2 linked regions of the Macaca mulatta genome follow. The protein of the gene in region 2 interacts with the protein of the main gene of each other region in a pairwise test. Links are inferred from orthologs where the notes say so. Each region holds a gene or a part of one and is shown on either strand. Other genes may lie near its edges.

Region 1 (9,708 bases), on a different chromosome or scaffold from region 2:
CAATTATGTCAAATGCTGCCTTCCACTCAAACACTATGAGGACTGAGAATTGACCAGTGGAATTAGCAACATGGAGATCATTAGCTACCATGTTAAGCACAATTTTGGTGGAGCAGGAGGTGAAAACCTAATTGGAGAGGGCTCAAGAAAGAATAGGAAGAAAGGAACTAGAAACTGCAGGTATGGACAAAAATTTCAAAAAGTTCTGTGGTAAGGCAAGCAGAGAATTGAGGCAGTAGCTGAGGGACATACAGGGTCAAGAGTGATTTTGTTTTGTTTTCGAAGATGATAGAAATTATACTATGTTGGAAATAAGCCAGTTAGGGGGGAAACTTGATGCAGAAAAAGGAGAGAAAACTGGGATGAAGGGAAAAGGAGGCACAGACTGTACTTAAGCAGCAACAGTCTCATCAGCTAGAGGCCTTAGAATAAAGATGCATTTGCAGTGCAATAGATGTCCATTCTTCCTGGAGGTTGATAAGCCAGTGCTTTTAAACTGGCTGAACAGGAGAATCGCTAGGGAAAGACAAGCGTGTATTTACTTTAGACACTATTATTATAGTCACAAATAAGTGGCTGTAAATTGCATTTTGTTACTAACAATTCAATGATGGTACAGAAATAATCATTCATTCAACAACTACTTACTCATCTACCATGTGCCAGTTCCCAGTGTTATTCTAGGTGCTGGGGATATAGAACTGAGCACCACAGTCATATCTAAAACATTTTTATTGGTTGCATTATTTTAAAATCTATGTGTATTTGTTTACAACAAAAAATATGTTGGGGATATTTTTTGTGGTTTTCTTCACAAAATTTCTTTAAATCATCTCTTTATGCTTTGTAAAAACCCTTGTATCGCTAAGATTGACAGGTTTTATTATCAATGGTGTCCCTGAAGCTTATTTTAGAGTAGGTATTTAGGGCACTTTCTCCATTTTCTTATTTGCTGGATTTTACCCCAAGAGCTTTTCAAGTCTATTTAAGTAATCATGGAATTTGGTCACTTTTAGATAAATTAATAGGATATCCCAACTGCTTTTTAAGAACTGCTCTTAATTTCTGTTAGTCTTTTAAATGTTACTTAAAGGTAGTTATATTCTCTCACAAAATCAACTTGAGATCATTAAACTATTTAATTTCTCTTCCTTCAGTTTATACAATAAAACGAGTTCTACACAGGAAAGGAAGGAGTATAGAATTGCCAAGGCTTCTTTTCACTAAACTTAGATAGCTGAATTTTCTACCTTTCACTAAAGAACACATTCCACCTTGCTGAACCTTTAAAAGGTCAACAGCCACTTTGAGAGCGTTTATTTGTTTCAGTCTTTTCTGTGGCCTCCTTTTCAAGGTTCATTTCTCTGATTTCCTAGTAGTATACTTATTTCATGGGAAACATTTCTTTCAGAGAAGCACAAAGCCTCTTCTAAACTCTTCCTCATTCATGTCAGTCTGTTAGCTAGATTTCCCACTAGTTTAAAATTTTATTTTAGTTTTAGATTTCCCATGATCTGCTATACTTGAATATAGAATATATACATTTTCCAAAATATACTTGGAGTGTGGGAGTTGGGGAGAGAGAAGGGGAAAGGAAGGGAGAGCGAGAGAGGGACACGGAGGATAAAATGGGAAAAGGAGAGGGAGGGTTAGCGAGAAAGGGAAAGGGGAATAAAGGAGGAGAGGGATATTTGTTTTGTAAATTCTATGTTAACTTTGCTTCTTTGGAGCTTTTTCTTTTCTCTTTTTTTTTTTTTTTTTTTTTTTTTTTTTTTTTTTTGAGACAGAGTCTTACTCTATTGCCCAGGCTAGAGTGCAATGGCACAATCTTGGCTCACTGCAACCTCCGCCTCCCAGGTTCAAGCAATTCTCCTGCCTCAGACTCCCGAGTAGCTGGGATTACAGGCACGTGCCGCCACACCCAGCTAATTTTTGTATTTTTAGTAGAGACAGTGTTTCACTATGTTGGCCAGGCTGGTCTCGAACTCCTGACCTCAGGTGATCCACTCACCTCGGCCTCCCAAAGTGCTGAGATTACAGGCGTGAGCCACCATGCCCGGCCAGAGCTTTTTTTTTTTTTTTTTTTTTTTGAGATGGGAGTTTCGCTCTTGTTGCCCAGGCTGGAGTGCAATGGTGAGATATCCGCTTATCGCAACCTCCGCCTCCCGAGTTCAAGTGATTCTCCTGCCTCAGCCTCACAAGTAGCTGAACTGCGCCGGCCCAGAGCTTACTTCTTAAAGGTGTTTCAAAGGACTCATACCTGTTCTTAATTTCAAATATTGTTTACTATTTGTATATTGCATTTCTAAAACATCTTATACTTAGAGTAATAACTGTACTTTAGCCTTCCTTTCCTCATCTCCAAATATTTGTGTATTACAGAAGAGAAGAACTCCATTACATCGTGTTCTTTGTTAGAGATCTGAAATCTCATAGCCTAAAATTTTCCTCCTTGCAGCAATCACACACAGTAAAAAAGTCTGCTATAACATGGCAAGTCTGTAACGTGTGGGTCCCTCACGGCCTATAAAGTTTATTTATTACTCCCCCTCCTTCCACTGGAGCCTTCCTAATACTTAGGGTGAGGAATGTGGGTGGGTGGGCCAAGATATGGAAGAACTGGGGAGAACTATGCATGTGCCTATATTTATGAAAACATTTATGCTCATGTCAATTAAATGCATTATATGATTAAAGTGATTTGCACATCCAGGCTCCAAACAGGAAACACGATGAGTAATGACGGGACAAACTCTGGACCACTGATACAAATACAGTAACTGAACCCAAAGAAAACAAGATCGGCTGGGTGCGGTGGCTCACATCTGTAATCTCAGCAGTTTGGGGGGCCAAGGCAGGTGGATCACTCGAGGTCAGGAATTCGAGACCAGCCTGGCCAACATGGTGAAACACTGTCTCTACTAAAAATATAAAAATTAGCTGGGCATGGTGGTACGCACCTGTAATCCCAGCTACTCGGGAGACTGGGGCAGGAGAATTGCTTGAACCTGGGAGGCAGAGGTAGCAGTGAGCCAAGATCGCACCACTGCACTCCAGCCTGGGCGACAGAGCAAGACTCCGTCTCAAAAGAAAAAAAAAAAAAAGAAAGAAAAAAAGAAACAAGATTTTCATAAGAGCAGCAGATGAAAATTGCCAAAATTTACACATTTTTGTCCAAGAGTAAATATGAACAGATTAAGAGAAGTACAAAGTTTAGAGAAATTAAAAAACCTTTTAGGAAAACTGTATATTGGACTCTAACATGAATGAAGAGTTTCAAAACATATTTTACATGAAGGTTTTAGCTGTCTAAAAAGATTTGGCAGAAAATAAGCATATTGCCATAAAAGCAGAGAATCAAACTTTGACGATAAGGTCACTGAAAAGCCTTAAAACAGCTTTCATGGGTAAGTTACATAACTCTTCTCTGTCTCAGTTTACTCTTACATACATGTGACATAATGCACTTAGTGGACAAACAGCATGCAATCACTGTTAGCCATTCTGACGGCTTCTCCTCTGTGGCAAGTCAGGCAACGAGTAATAACACTTGTTCCCTTAACCTCAATTATGAGAAGATATTCCAAGACCTCCAGAAAGTTCTTTGGTATTAGAAGCTGCTCTGAAGAGTTGGGTAGAAGAGGAGACTGGTTCTACTCTTTGAGCAAACAAGCTGTAGACAGCTCTGGGCCAAACTTAAGGGTTCCAACCATGAAGGAAAGAGTGCTTCTGACAGTTACTTTGGAACTTGAGTATGTTTTTCTCTTATAAGCGTAGTGGCAAAATAACTGAGAGTTACGCAACGAAATGCCTTAGGTGCCCAGTGGTGCTCACACCCTGATGCCGATCTCACATCAGGGAACCCTTTGAATGCTGAGGGTTAGTAACACCTTCCACTACATTCCAGAGTGGGAGAATGCTGGCCACACTTGCGAAAGCTGCAGTACAAGTTTAAAACAACCAACAAAAACAAAAACCAAAATCACTTTTCTTTAGGAATGAGGTCAGCACTATGTTGCACACTCGTTTGTGGGGAGTTGAATATTTGGTGAAGAAAAGGCAGCCTGCCCGGAGGCAAAGCTAGGGATTTCGGCCAGTGGGCATATCTTTCCAAACCCTTGCTACTACTCTCGATTATCTTCTGCGACATAACCCCAGTCCACCCCTTGCTGCCTTTCTCTAACTACTTTCTCAAGGCCATGCCTTTTGGGAAGTGGTTACAAATAAGCTGTTTGCGCCACAAGCTAGAGGTTCCTCCAGCTACACGGCAAACCGAAGGAAGCTGTCAGGACATTGTGAGAGGCACTACACAACGACAACAAACACTGCCAGCGACTGCCGAGCCCCACCCCCACGCCAGCCTCAGCCCAGAGAATGCAGGCCCTGGGCTGGCTCGCCGCGGGCCAAAGACGGACGCAGCTCGCGCCGCTGGCAGCCGGAGCACAGGCATCCCTCGGTGCAAGGCAGCCGCGGGCCCTCTCCAGGCATCTCCCACCCGGAGTGCTGGGCCAGTGCCCAATAGGAAGCCCGGCGGGGGAACTTTCGCCCTCGGCTGCCACATAAACCAGTCGGGCTCAAGACTGTCCAATGACTGGGCAGGGCGGCGAAACATTCTTTGGAGTCCTGGCAGCTTCCAGGTCTCGACTGAGCTTAACGCTCTAGGAGGAGAGGAACCTAGGGCGGATGCTTCACTCGCCCCCCTTGGCCGGCCCCTTCACCCAGGGCCGAGGATGTTACAAATAGGGGCAAATTCTCGCCCCGGCCATCTTTCCCTGGGGCCTTGCCCTCCTCGTCTGCAGGCTGGAAGCAAGTTCAGCAACAGGCTGGGGCGAAAGTGTTTCCGCGCCCCCGACTGCGCAGGCTCGGTACACAGAGGCGACTTTCCGGGGCGAGTGGGCTGCAGCGGCCCGACTGCGCGGCGCTCCGGTATCGCTCCCTGGTTCAAGTTTCTGGGTCTTGGAGGCGCCTCCAATGCGTCCCAGCCACTCGCCGCAAAGAGTTAACCAAGTGGGGCGGGCCCCCAGCAGCGCGTCTCCACCGCGCACCCCCAGCCCCGCGCTCGCTGCTATCCGCCCGAACCGCAGCTGCGTCTCGCCCCCAGAGCCGGCCAGCCTCCCTCTCGCGCCGCCTTCCCACCCCGCCAAATTGGCTTCCCGCGCACTCCTCACCGCATTTCTCTGGGCCCCGCGATACTCCAATATTTCCTCAGCTGGGAGGCGCTTCACGGAGGACCCTCTGCCCCCAGTCGCTTTCCCCGCTTTCCTCCCCGCACCCCCCAGGAGGTGCCAGTACCGATGCCCTGGATGAAGACGAAGCCGGTGACCACGAGCACCGGGTGCCAGTTAAACTCGAGTGCGCTCCCGTCCCAGCCAAGCCCCTCTCGGTAGTGGAGGACCCAGACGAGGGTGAAGATCACCGACAGGAAGCCGACGAGCAGTGCCGACCCCAGCAGCGCCAGGAAGCGCCAGTAGCCCTCCATGGCCATCAGCGCCCCATACTCCGCACCGCGGGGTCCACAGTAACTTGGAGAGGCGGCGGCAGCCTTTGGGTAGTGGCCGGGCGGCGGGACCGGGGCGTCGACTTCTTGGGGCTGTCTCCGCCTGCGGGGAGGGACTTTCTGGGCTGCTGGCCCGGAATGTGGGGCCCTTGGGGGTGGGGAGCTAGCCCCAACTCAGAAACGGGCCCCACCCCCGGGATCACGGGGCCGCCGAGGGCGCTCACTGCCTGGTGGCCTCACTCTCGCCCAGCATCCAAGCTCGCAGAGGGCTTCAGTAACAGCCCTAGTTAGTTGCTCAAAGAGAGAATTCCAAGGATTTTATACCCACCACTTGCTTTTAACCCTTCCCGTATCTCGTCCTTATTTGTGGGGAGGCTGAGTAGGGCAGTGGTGCGCCCTCTTGATTAAGAGAAGAGAGGGATCCGTTGGGTAAGGTTATGTGTGTGCTTTTAACTCTAAAGAAGCCTCCTTAGCCGCAGTGCTGGAGAATTGCTGTCTCTGACATCAAAGGGTGTTAAGGAGGAACCCGTAGGGTGGTGTAAACTAAAAGTAAAATCCTAAGCCCCTCACTGACTGAATGGACCCCCTTGGCCAAGCAGACCCCAGAAAACCTTAAAGCTGAGTTTCTAGCTACAGCCAGAAGGGAAATCAGGAAGTCTACCCCCTCCCTTTTGGAATTTAGACTCAACAACTGACTAGCATTAATGTTTAAAAGAGAAATCATAAGGCGGACGGAACAGACTCTTTGTAGCAATAGGACATCAAATTATAAAAAGGACCTAAGTCACACACTCCTACAGTTAAGGAATAAACTATGGTCTAACTGCCACAAAGGTTTTCTTTTTCTCTAGAGGCACTGGTTTGAGATAAGCGATGTTAAAACTATTACAACTTAATCAGCTCACAGACGCTGACCAACTGAACCCCTGTTCCACAAGCCAGAACTACAGCTTTCATTGGACAAGAAACTGATTTCAGGAACTTTTTCCTGATAGGAAGACCACCGACCATGGACTAGTTCTGGCCAGTTTACAGGATTTGCACTTGTATGCATTCACGGCCTAAAAAGACCTTTTGAAGTATAGGTTTGAAGTAATACATTTAAATGTTAAGTCTCCACCCCAAAGAGAACATGTTACATGCATGTTTGTTCAATATGCATGTGTAAGGACCACCTCCATCAATATTCATAGTTCCTCCTGTAACCTGTTAAGTATGTATGTTTGGCCAAACTGTTCAGCATAAAGCTTCTACCCCAACCCCTCTGCCTTCCAAGTGCCTGTCTCTGGTCTTAGGCCAGAGGCTGTGTTTATCAGCCTATGGAATGGCCACCTTGCAGGCTATAACCTTTTAAAAGAAAGTCTCCTCCTTTTTCAAATTTATAATTTTTTGTTTTAAGTTAACAGTAAAGGCCGAGCGCAGTCGCTCACACCTGTAATCTTAGCACTTTGGGAGGCTGAGGCGGGCAGATCACTTCAATCCAGGAGTTTGAGACCAGCCTGGGCAACAAGGTGAAACCCTGTCTCTACTAAAAATACAAATGTGTGCACCTGTAGCCCCAGCTACTTGGGGACTGAGGAAGGAGGATCATTTGAGCCCAGAAGGTCGAGGCTGCAGTGAGCTGAGATTGCACGACTGCCTTCAGCTTGAATGACAAAGTGAGACTCTGTCTCAAAAAACAAACAAAAACCAGTAAACCGGGGTCCGCATGAAGTGTCTCACGGCTGTAATCCCAGGGCTTTGGGAGGTGGGGGCAAGAGAATCACTTGAGCTCAGGAGAGCTATGATCGCACCACTGCACTGCAGCCTGGTGACAGCTAGACTTTGTCTCGAAACAAAACAAAAACAGCATGGGCAGCAGTGGGCTTGGCCTTATCCTGCAATGAAACTATTTGCAGTTTGCTGTTGAGAGAGGGAAGACAGGAACCTCCTGGACCTGGACTTGCCATTTAGTGTGATAAATGGATTTTCAAAGTGCCAGGCCACCCAAACCGATTTGAACCAAAGCCCCTGTTGATGAAGTGAAGCTCGCTCCCTGCCCTATTTCCAACATTATCCTCACCCTTCTCCACTGGACAAAAATAGTATCAGCATTATCTAATGCTATCAAAGAAAAAGGGTTCTGACCGCCAGGGCCTCCAGAATGCATTTGGGAACGTTCACTTCTAGCCCTCTTCTGTAGCTCATCTCCAAGGACTAGTTTGCTGTATTGTCTTGTTGCTGTCTTGAAAGACCTTAGAATGTGCAGGAAGTATATGGAGGTGATTTTCAAAGCAGACTAAAGAAATAGGAGTGGCAGGCCATGGTAGTAGGGCAGGATTAAGGGCTCAGAGTAAGAGGCTGTAGACCTCACCTGTGTCATTATTTTTCCCTTGGTGGGGAGAGTAAGCAAATGGAAGAGAAGGACACCTTTCCCCAGCACAAGGCTTTGATCTGGTCCAGCTTAGCCCTCCCCTCTAGTCTCTTACCATAACCTGACTGGCTCTGATGTCCTTGGCTGTAAACTGCTCTGGCAGCTTCTGACCACTTCCTACCCACGCCCCTGCCTCTAAATTTCCCTGACCCCATCTCCACTGAGAAACCTTCCCTGAGTCTGCCCCTGCCCAGACTTTTATATCCCACTGACCTCCCCATCCAGTGCCTCCTTGTGTCACCTGTCAGGATATAATATAATGATCTGCCTCTGGCTGTCTCCACTCTCAGACTGCCCTATTGAAGGCATTGATTCTCCAATTAGTCATTTTATTCCTCCTTGACGTGGTGGTTACTCAATAAACATGTGTTGGGAGGCTAATAAGACTGAGTGTGTTAATCAGGGTCCTGGCAGAAAACACACAGCATATTGGAATTGAGTAATTTAATAATGAACAAGACTGTTTATGAAGTTGTGGGCAGTGTGTGGCAATCCTCAGAGTTAGGCAGTGCCCCAAGTCTGAAGGGTAGAGAATTACTGGAGTCCAGAGAGAAAATTGTGTGGAGGGGGAAGTCCGATAGAGGCCTTGAGTACAGGGATGCAGCCAGCCTGCAGAGACCCCATAGGGAGAAAGATGGAAGCAGATAAATATTCCAGCCTTACTCTTCTCCCCTCTGATCTTCTGCCCAGGGTCTCCCAGGGGCTAACCAGAACCTAATCAGATGCCACAGGGCAGTTCATGTAATCCATCCCAGGTCAATTTAGGGCACAGAGCAGAGGAGAGAAGAGTGAGATCCCTAGGAATACATGGAAACTATCCCTGAATCTTCCACTTTTATTTTTTCAGACCTTTTTTTTTTGGTGGTGGTTCCTGAGTGCTGCAAACATTCCGTGTTTCACCTAACATTGATTCTTTTCGTTTGTGAACTTTAGCTTATAATTCTATAACGACATCACTGTATCTCTATCCCTCTCCCTAAAAGTATCTAGTCTTTTTCCCCAATTAATGTTTTCACCCCCTTGAAATATTACTCCTAACACCTTCACTCCACTCTTGAGTTAATTTTGCTTCATAGCAGCAGCAGATGAGAATCTCTGGGATTCCAGACCCCATTTAACAAAACATTTCAGGAGGATGAAAACATGGCCAAATGGTACCAATGGTATTGAATCATCTTGAAGTTATATGTAAAACTGAGAGAATTTCAACTTTTAAATTATCTTTTAAGAATCTGGCCGGGCGCAGTGGCTCAAGCCTGTAATCCCAGCACTTTGGGAGGCTGAGACGGGTGGATCACGAGGTCAGGAGATCGAGACCATCCTGGCTAACATGGTGAAACCCCGTCTCTACTAAAAATACAAAAAAACTAGCCGGCCGTGGTGGCGGGCGCCTGTAGTTCCCAGCTACTCGGGAGGCTGAGGCGGGAGAATGGCGTAAACCCGGGAGGCAGAGCTTGCAGTGAGCCGAGATAGCGCCACTTCACTCCAGCCTGGGTGACAGAGCGAGACTCCGTCTCAAAAAAAAAAAAAAAGAATCTAACTTTGATATTAAACAAAACTGTCACTGAGAAGGGGAAATTTTTCAATAAATATTGTTGTGGCTTACTGTTAACCTTTTAATTAATTATTTTTCTTTTTGAGACAGGATCCCACTCTGTCACCCAGATTGGAGTGCAGTGGCATGATCTCGGCTCACTGCAACCTCCACCTCCTGGACTCATCCTCCTACCTCAGCCTCCCAAGTAGCTGGAACCACAGGCATGTGCTACCATGCCTGGCAAATTTTTGTATGTTTGGT
Region 2 (9,945 bases):
TAGCATGACTGAGGCCAGCTCCTCCAGGACAGGGCTGGAAGCTCAACTCAACTCACGCAACCAGGGCCAGGGGAACACCGCCCCCACCCCAGCCTTGTACAGATGTTAGGAGGCAGCCCCTCTAAGGCAACTCTGACTGAACCTCTGAGAGGTATCAGGGTGGATGCTGTTAGTGGAGGGGGAGCCAGGGCTGGGGCCAGACCTGGGCAGGCTCAAGTTTTGGAGAGAGGGCAGGGTGCTATGCAGAAGGGAGTGGGTATCTGGGTAGCAGCAGAGGCAGGCGCCATTCTCGGGGTACAGCTAAAGATAAGAATAAGCACCAATTTGGGGGGATGGCCAAACCTGGAAGACACAAAAGCCTCAGGGAGAGAATCTAAGGGTGGCAGGAGGCTGGCAGTTTGGACTGAGCCTGGTATCACGTCTGGGGCTGCGCGGGGCACTCACCTGCATCTCCACTTCAGAAGCCAGAAAAGTGAAGATATCGTGCAGCTCACGAATACTGCGTTCAAGCTGCTGGATCTCACTGTGCCGGGCCGAGATCTCATTTAAGGCCTGTCGAGTCACCTGTGTGTCCTTCAGGATCTAGGGGGTGGACAGGAGTGGGGCAACTGTTCACAGGGAGACCGACAGCAGGTCAGAAGCTCCTGTTGAACTTCTGGGTAGCCCTCAGCCTGGAATCTGATGGGTGACTCCAGGTTAGCTAATTAATTCCCTTAGGGGCCTCAGGGTCCCCTCAATCAGAAAGGGACATAGCAAGCGGAGTCCAGTGGCTCACACCTATAGTCCCAGCTACTCGGGAGGCTGAGACAGGAGGATCACCTGAGCCCAGAAGGTCAAGAACGGGATAGGAATCAGAGGAGATGGGAGGCACAGCAGAGAGGGGCTGGCTGTGGCCACTCACATTGGACACAAACACCTCGCTCTGCCCACTATCCAGCATCTGCTCCAGCTCCTCGTCAGATACCATCCCAGCATTGGCTGTGAAGGAAAAGGCCAGGCTCAGGGCTGGGTTGGGATTACCTGCCCCTGCAGGCCAGGCTGGGCACACACAACTCACTGATCTTCAGCTGCCTCCGGATCCGCTCCACGTTCTTCTCCCGGTATTCGGACTGCATTGAATTGCACTTGTTGATGAGCTCCACGAATTGCTGGGACAGGACCCCATGCTAAAGATGAAGAATATAGGCTGGGTGCCCCGGGAGGATCCTTGCCCGGTCTGGGCCTCGGCAATCCCATAGTAAAGTGAGCAAATAGCATGAGCTCTTATGCGGGGTCTGCCACCTTAACCACTTTGTGATGACCTTGACAGGCTCCCCCATTTCTCTTAGACAAAAAGCCAAAGCCCTTAGCAAGTCTATGTGGCCCTCCATGATCTTTTTTATTTTTATTTATTTATTATTTATTTTTTGAGACAGAGTTTCGTTCTTATTGCCCAGGCTGGAGTGCAGTGGCGCAATCTTGGTTCACCACAACCTTGGCCTCCTGGGTTCAAGCGATTCTCTTGCCTCAGCCTCCCAAGTAGCTGGGACTACAGATGAACATCACCATGCATGGTTAATTTTTATATTTTTAGTAGAGATGGGGTTTCACCATGTTGGCCAGGATGGTCTCAATCTCTTGACCTCAGGTGATCCACCCACCTCAGCCTCCCAAAGTGCTGGGATTACAAGTGTGAGCCACTGCACCTGGCCTATTTTTATTTTTAATAGAGACAGGGTTGACCCGCACGGTGGCTCATGCTTGTAATCTCAGCACTTTGGGAGGCTGAGGTAGGCAGATCACCTGAGGTCGGAGTTCAAGACCAGCCTGGCCAACATGGTGAAACCCCATCTCTACTAAAAATACAAAAATTAACTGGGTGCAGTGGTGGGTGCCTGTAGTCCCAGCTACTTGGGAGGCTGAAGCAGGAGAATGGCTTGAACTCAGGAGGCGGAGGCTGCAGTGAGCAGAGATGGCACCACTGCACTCCAGCCTGGGTGACAGAGTGAGACCTTGTCTCAAAAAAAAAAAAACAGAGAGAGATGGGGTCTCGCAATGTTGCCCAGGCTGGTCTCAAACGCCTGGGCTCAACCAATCCTCCCACCTCAGCCTCCAAAGTGCTGGGATCACAGGTGTGAGCCAAGGTGCACGGCCAGCCCTCTCTGATCTTGCTTCCTCTTACTGTTCCCTCCCTCTGCCCATCCACATTGGTCTCCTTACAGCCCTCCCTAGACAAAGCACACTCTCAGCTTAAACCTTTGCATTCACTTCTCATTCTACCTAGAATGCCCATTCCCCGCAAACACCTTTAAGTCTTTTGTTCAGATGTCACCTTCTGAATGAAGCTTCCTCCACTTGCTTTCAACTGCAACGCTACCCTCCTCCAGCATGCTCAGTCCCTCTTCCGCTGCTCTTTTTTCCTTAATGCTTATTATGTTCTAAATAATTCACTTATTTATTATGGTGATTGTCTACACCAGAAGGGAAGTTCCATGAGGATAGGGATCATTGATTCACTGCTGTACCCTAAACAGTTCCAAAAAGGTCTGGCACACAGTAGGCACCCAATATGTAACTGCTGAATGCTTGCTGAATGCCAACCTTGCTGCCTACACCACAGTTCCTATGCCTAGAGATGAACATGCTGCCTGGGCGAAACAGGTGCAACAGGCCCACATGGGCCCTCGACCACTCATGCCAATCACCACCAGAGGCTTCCCCAGAAACACTGGCTCTGGGGCATCTGCTCTGCCTTGCCCCTTCTCCTGAGACCTTAAATATGCTCATTCCTTGGAGTTCCTTTTCCAGAGATACATCTGCTCTCCTGGTTCCAGCTGCACCCTTCCAAGATGCCCAAGCTGTTTCATCTTCAATCTGGGGTCTTTGCTGAGCCCTGGGCTCAACTACTCCAACCCTGACCTCTTGGTATCCTCCTCACTGGGGACACAAAGAGGGCCAGTCAGATCACTGCAAATCTCCTTACTAAGATATCACCCCAGGGGCCGTGCACGGTGGCTCATGCCTGTAATCATAGCACTTTGGGAGGCCAAAGCAGGTGGATCACTTGAGGACTTGAGGTCAGGAGTTCAAGACCAGCCTGGCCAACATGGTGAAACCTCATTTCTACCAAAAATATAAAAAACTAGCCAGGTGTGGTGGTGTACACCTGTAATCCCAGCTACTTGTGAGGCTGAGGGAGGATTATCGCTTGAAGGAGGTGGAGGTTGCAGTCAGCCAAGACTGTGCCACTGTACTCCAGCCTGGGCGACAGAGAGAGACTCCATCTCAAAAAAATAATAATAATTTTTAAAAAAAAGATATTACACCAGGGGAGTTCCTCTTCAGTGTCGCCCCAGGGAAGTTCCACTTCCTGACTTCTTGAATTCCACCTGTGGGACTAAGGATGTCCCTGTCACACAGATAGCAAACCTGCCAGTCAATTTGTGACTTCTCACTCTCCTTCCCTGGGCAGCGCCATTAGCCACCAGATCCCACGTGAGTAATGTCTTTATCCCCTATTGAACCCTAACTCCTCATGTTGACTCCTAGAAAACACGTGTCCCAGCTGGGCGCAGTGGCTCACGCCTGTAATTCCAGCACTTTGGGAGGCCAAGGCAGGAGGGTCACCTGAGGTCAGGAGTTCGAGACCAGCCTGGCCAACATGGGGAAACCCCGTCTCTACTAAAAATACAAAAATTAACTCGGCATGGTGGTGTCCGCCTGTAATCCCAGCTATTCAGGAGGCTGAGGCAAAAAGAAAAGAAAACGTGTCCCACAGTCAAGCCTAGGTCTTGTCTGGGGTCAATAAGTAACTTCTTATTGAATGGAAGAAAATAAAGCAGGGTGTTATAACCGGACTGAGCATCAGGAGACCTGGTTTCCTGACCTTGAGCAAGTTCTTTCTCTCTCTGAGCTCAGGTTCCCCACTTGGAAAAATCATCCAATTGGACTCCATGACATCTACAGGCCCTTCCTTCATACATCTGTCATCTAATACTTCATGAAACATTTGCTGAAATGTCATTTCTGAGAAAAAAAACCCACCTGGGTTTTTCTCATTCTTGTGTTGATGGAGTTATAGTTCTCATCAGCTTCCTCCTTCTGGGGCTCTATGGCTGTGGGAAGACACAGGGGTATTGGGGGTACTTGTCTCCATAGGATTTTTAGGGAAATATAATTTATCATAAAATGACTAAGGCTGAGCCTCCAAGAGGAGAAAGTAAGTTTATTTTTCTTTGCATTACATCACTTGAGTTCCCGTAGGAATGCAGAGGCCACCTAACAAAACCCCATCTCCCTGCCCAAAGAATGCCCAGTGGGCAGTGATAACTGTGTAAGTAAATGGTTTCATTGTAAATAAAAGAACCTGAGAGACTGCCTTGTGCTGTGGAGAGTACAATGGCCTGGAGGCCAGAAGACAGAGATGCTAGAACCAGGCCTGCTGTGTGACCTGGATATATCACTGGCTTCTCTGGGCCACACACTCCCCAGATATACCAACAACAGGGCAGGATCAGAGGGAAGGATCTGCCTGAGGTCCCAGTAGCTCACCCTTCAGCTGCAGGCGGATCTCCCTCCCCAGCTGTTTGATCTCGTCGCGCAGGTTCTGCAGCTCCTGCTTCATGCCTGAATAAGAGAAGGCCACGACTCCCAAACAGCAGCCCCCACCTCAACAAACCACCCTGGCCACCACCTGCGTGGAACTACAACCCCCACAATCCCTGGGGCGGAGCATGCGCTATGCAGCCGGGGTTTCACTCACTCTCCTCAGGAAGGGGCGTGGCCAGGATGGTGACCTGCTGTTTCTCCAACTCCTGGACTTTATTCCCCAGCTTGACAATAGTCTGCCGAATTGTCCGGACCTGGGGAGGGTGACCGAGAGGGCTGAAAGAGATATGGGGTACTCCAGACCACGCTGCTCCTCGGGTCCTCCTACCCCCTCGCGAATCCAGGCCAAGACTCCATCCCCTTACCTTCTGGAAGAACTCCTCGTCCGGGCTCCCCAGCCGTGCCGTGCCCGGGTGCACCACCAGCGCGACTCGCTCCTTGTCCTCTTCGTCCGAGCTGTCATCCCCCTGCCAGGCCCGGAGTCATTGGCACCACTGTTTCGCTGCGGCTGTCACCCCGCAGGACCCACAGGCTTCCGGGACTTTCCTTCCTGGCCATCAGCCACCCCTCCCTACCCCGAAGACCAGGAGTCCTGCGTTCCAGTTCGTCCGCGCGCCCCCATCCCCGCTGCCCTGGCGTCTCACCTGCCTCAGCTCGTGGGTCCTGTCCCGCATGGCGGCCTGAGCTCTCCCTCCCCGGCGTCAGACCGGGAGGCCGGCAAACTTGGAATACCCGTACCCCACTCACACTCTGACACTCCCCTCCCTCCCCCTGTGGACCCCAACACCCCCACGAGCCACCAGAGCCTCCGTCCCTTGCACCGCCCACAGTCAATGGGAAGGCGCCGACCCCGGGGACCCCCCAAGGTTCCACAGGTTGGAATTCCCTTTTCTTCCCCCCTCCAGCTCCCGCAGCCTCAGCCCCGCCCCTCCGTGATAAATTCGGGGCATGCGCATATGGTCGCGTCTCTTCCTCGCCCGAGGCGCGGAAGGTGGAGTCGGAAGTTGTTGCGCCCCGAGCGGAAGCGGAGCTGCGTGGACGCGAGAACTGGCTACCGTCACCGGAACCGTTGCATCTTCCAACGGAAATCTGGTTGCCAAAAGGGGTAGGAATACGTCATTTGTACGTAATCTGAGGCACCCGCATCTCACATCACCCCATGGTGCCCCCACCGCGTCACGTGACCAACCCGGTCCCAAACTCGTGGACCGCAGAATGTGACGCTGTGACTGTCACGTGTCCCGGCTCGGTCAGCGCCGTCTCTGGGACGCTGTTTTCATCACGACGTCCCCGGCACTCCGACCACCGAACGACGCCCACACGGCCCCCGCGAGGTGGGGAGGGGCGCGCCCACCACTCCCAGAGGCCTTTCGAGGCAGTGGGTGGTAGGACCCTTGCTGACTTCGCCTTTATTGCTTTCGGGTCCAGGGGCGTGGGCGGACTGACGACTTAGCATTTGGGGCTGTCAGCATCATGGGACCTTGAAAATCGGGAAATAATAGGATCCGAGTCGTCAGCGTCAGAAAATTGCAGGGTTGTGTGGGCAGGGAATCTAGGGGTGGAAATTGACCTCAGCCAAGGCAGAAACCTCTTCTTCCGCATCCTCCTGGCGCAGCCTCTGACAGGTGGGCAGCCAGCCGGCGCCCTCCTTGAACACTACAGCCCGGCTTCACTCACCACCTTGTGGGCTGTCAGACCATGTCAGGGCAGCTCAGGCTAAGAAAAGTGTCTCTGCACGCTGCCTTCCCTGCCACTCACACCCCCCAGACCCTGCCTTGCATCTGAGGCAGGTAATGACTTTGTTCTTAACTGAATCTGGGGAGTTCCTAGCTCAGTACCAAGCACATTACGGGCCCTCTATAAATACTTGTGGACAGAATCTTAGCCTTTCATGTATCTGAGGATGAAGACCCTGGTTCCTTGGCCTTCTTTAGGCTTCAGTCTTTCTGACTGTGACACTTCTCTAATCCTGGCTATCGAGATATTCACTCATTTTTTATTTTTAAAAATTTTTACAAGATGGGGTCTCACTATGTTGTCCAAGCTGGTCTCTAACTCCTGGGCTCAAGCAATCCTCCTGCCTCAGCCTCCCAAACTGCTGGGATTACAGGCATGCACCACCATGCACAGAACATTCATTTAATGGATATTTTTGGGCACATACTATGGGCCAAACACTGTTCTAGGGCTGGAGATACATCAAGGACTAATAGATAAAAATTCCTGCACTCGTGGAACTTAAATTCTCTAGAAGGAGTCCCCAAGGTCATTTAGTAAGTCTCAGCATAGCTGGGAATGAATAACGGGTCTCCTGGACCCCAGGGCTCTGTCCAGGAAGCTTCTGTGAAGGTACAAGCAAGGAAAGGAATGGACCCTTTCTGCTATGCCCTGGTCAGGAAACCTAGATTCCTGGGACTGGGTTGCTATGGACTTCTGGAAGTTGCTTCCTGTCTCTTAAGTGTCGATCTCCCTCTGCACAGTGGGTAACTTGGGGGGATGGGGAGATCATCTTTATGGGTATGGGCTGCTCTAAACTTCAGTGATGATGAGGTTGGAAACTGTCAAGTGCTGTCTGATTCTATGTGAGGATTTTTGGCTCTTCTCTTCCTGTTAAAACCCAGCTCTAGCAGGGTGCGGTGGCCTATGCCTGCAATCCCAGCACTTTGGGAGGCAGAGGCAGGCAGATCACCTGAGGCCAGGAGTTGGAGACCAGCCTGGCCAACATGGCGAAACCCCATCTCTACAAACGTACAAAAATTAGCCAGGCATGATGGCAGGTGCCTGTAATCTCAGCTACTTGGGAGGTTCAGACAGGAGGATTGCTTGAACCCGGGAGGCGGAGGTTGCAGTGAGCTGAGATCACGCCATTGCACTCCAGCCTAGGCGACAGAGTAAGACTCCATCTCAAAAAAACAAAACAAAACAAAACACAAAACCCAGCTAGTAGGAGAGTGGTTCCCTGATCAACCCACAGAGGGAATGCAGGGTTTTTCAGGAAGCCTCCCCTGGAGACGGTGAGGAAAGATTCCCTGCTCCCGGGTCTTCCATGGCAGCCTCTGCCTCTTCAGTCACTGCTGCTTGCCTCCCGCATCTTTTGTCCCCTACCACCCGACCCCCTTCCCCCTCCTACTCTGTGTCTCTGAGTGGCACAAGGTGGAAGGGCTCTTGGACCCCTGACTCATAGTCCTGCATGGGATCTTAAATAATGCATTATTCCTCTCTGGGACTCAATTTCCCCATTTGACGGCTTGGTCCTATAATTTCTGCCTTGCCTAAGGTAGGACTTGGACAGTATCTAGTGAGGTTAAGAAGGATGTGGAAGGGGCTGGAAAACTGTCGAGCCTCCCCTCTGGCTTTTTTTCTTTTTTCTTTTTTTTTTTTTTGAGGTTGAGTCTGGTTCTGTCACCCAGGCTGGAGTGCAATGGTGTGCTGTCAGATTCAGTCAATCCTCCTGCCTCAGCCTCCCAAGTAGCTGGTACTATAGGCATGCACCAGCATGCCTGGCTAATTTTTGTATATTTTTTTGGTAGAGACTGGGTTTCGCCGTGTTGCCCAGGCTGGTCTCAAACCCCTGGGCTCAGTCGATCCACCCACCTTGGCCTCCCAAAGTGCTGGGATTACAGGTGTGAGCCACCGTGCCCAGCCTCTCTGAGCTTTTAGTACTGTGGGTTCCAGCATCTTCTGGGCCCCCGGTCCCATCTGCCTCTTTGTTTCTCAGCATCTTGATGGCATGCCGTCTTGATCCACTAAACTTCTCAGGATTATAATATTCATTATTTCATTTGTGGTCTCTGGATGAGATTGCAGGGTTTTGGAATGGTGACTTAAGGTCACAGGAAGCTGGACTCTAACCCTTGTGGTGGTATGTGGAGAGGAAAGAGGCCATTTAGAGAGATTGGCGCTGGGGATGGAGCTCTCCAGAGCTGAGCCCTTTGTTCCTCTCAGGCCCTCTGAGCAGCCTTGAAGTGGATATTAACTATCTTAGGCTGGGTGCAGTGGCTCATGCCTGTGATCTTAGCACTTTAGGAGGCCAAGGTGGGTAGATCACTTGAGGCCAGGAGTTCGAGACCAGCCTGGGCAACATAGCATCTGTCTCTACAAAAAAATCTTCTTTTAATTACCCAGGTGCACTGGCGCTCTCCTGTAGTCCTAGCTACTCAGGAGGCTGAGGCAGGAGGATCACTTAAGTCCATGAGGTCAAGGGTACAGTCAGCAGTGATCTTGCCACTGCATTCCAGCCTGGGTGACAGAGTGAGATCCTGTATCAAAAAAAAAAAAAAAAAAAAAAAAGTAGGGTGGGTGCAGTGGCTTACGCCTGTAATCCCAGCACTTTGGGAGGCCAAGGCAGGAGAATCCTTTGAGCCCAGGAGTTGAGACCAGCCTGGGCAACATGCCAAGACCTCATCTCTGGTTTTTTTTTGTCGTGGTTGTTGTTGTTTGTTTTGAGACATAGTCTCGCTCTGTCTCCCAGGCTGGACTGCAGTGGCACGATCTCAGCTCACTGCAGCCTTTGCCTCCTGAGTTCAAACAATTCTTACTCAGCCTTCCGAGTAGCTGGGATTACAGGTACACACCACCACACCTGGCTAATTTTTGTATTTTTAGCAGAGATGGGGTTTCACCATATTGGCCAGGCTGGTCTTGAACTCCTGACCTCGTGATCCTCCCACCTTGTGATCTGCCTGCCTCAGCCTCCCGAAGTGCTGGGATTACAGGCATGAGCCACTGTGCCTGGCCTAAGACCTCATCTCTAATTAGATTTTTTTTAATTAAAAATAAATAAATAGAAATAAAAATAAAGTTTAAAAAAGTATATTGGGCTGGGTGCTGTGGCTCACGCCTGTAATCCCAGCACTTTGGGAGGCCAAGGCAGGTGAATCACAAGGTCAGGAAATCGAGACCATCCTGGTTAACACAGTGAAACCCCGTCTCTACTAAAAATACAAAAATTAGCCGGCGTGGTGCCGGGCACGTGTAGTCCCAGCTACTCGGGAGGCTGAGGCAGGAGAATGGCATGAACCCGGGAGGCAGAGTTTGCAGTGAGCGCAGATTGTGCCACTGCACTCCAGCCTGGGTGACAGAGTGAGACTCCGTCTCAAAAAAAAAAAAAAAAAAAAATATATATATATATATATATATATATATGGTCTTGCGTGTGTGTGTGTGGTGAGCGTGTATATTTGCTCCAGACTGTGCAGCTGTTGGGTGGAGGGGGGGTGTGTTTTTTTAACATCCACACTATGATCCAAGGAAAATACCAGCTGGGGTGGCTTCCCGTGTTCCACCCACCCTTGGGGGCTTGCTGCCACCTATTGCTTTGGACTGTCTTGGAGGAGGAGTGGGTGGACTGCCTGCCCC

Evidence for each region.
Region 1: the proteins of STX4 (region 2) and CYBRD1 interact in binary tests that used the Homo sapiens proteins (3 or more experiments, as listed by UniProt). The two-hybrid records come from large-scale screens. The link is inferred for Macaca mulatta from reciprocal best matches to the Homo sapiens genes STX4 and CYBRD1.

Annotation. Positions count from the first base shown.
Region 1 is NC_133417.1:76,457,791-76,467,498, reverse strand, and holds the start of CYBRD1 (cytochrome b reductase 1), read right to left. Parts: upstream 5,668-9,708; 5' UTR 5,486-5,667; coding exon 5,293-5,485; intron 1-5,292. UniProt on the Homo sapiens protein: Plasma membrane reductase that uses cytoplasmic ascorbate as an electron donor to reduce extracellular Fe(3+) into Fe(2+).
Region 2 is NC_133425.1:29,667,424-29,677,368, reverse strand, and holds the start of STX4 (syntaxin-4), read right to left. Parts: upstream 5,531-9,945; 5' UTR 5,262-5,530; coding exon 5,232-5,261; intron 5,055-5,231; coding exon 4,953-5,054; intron 4,864-4,952; coding exon of another isoform or gene 4,842-4,863; coding exon 4,742-4,841; intron 4,606-4,741; coding exon 4,531-4,605; intron 4,095-4,530; coding exon 4,024-4,094; intron 1,167-4,023; coding exon 1,058-1,166; intron 979-1,057; coding exon 902-978; intron 583-901; coding exon 445-582; intron 1-444. Other genes in the region: uncharacterized protein LOC144337996, read left to right, coding at 5,536-5,692, 5,802-5,921. UniProt on the Homo sapiens protein: Plasma membrane t-SNARE that mediates docking of transport vesicles. Necessary for the translocation of SLC2A4 from intracellular vesicles to the plasma membrane.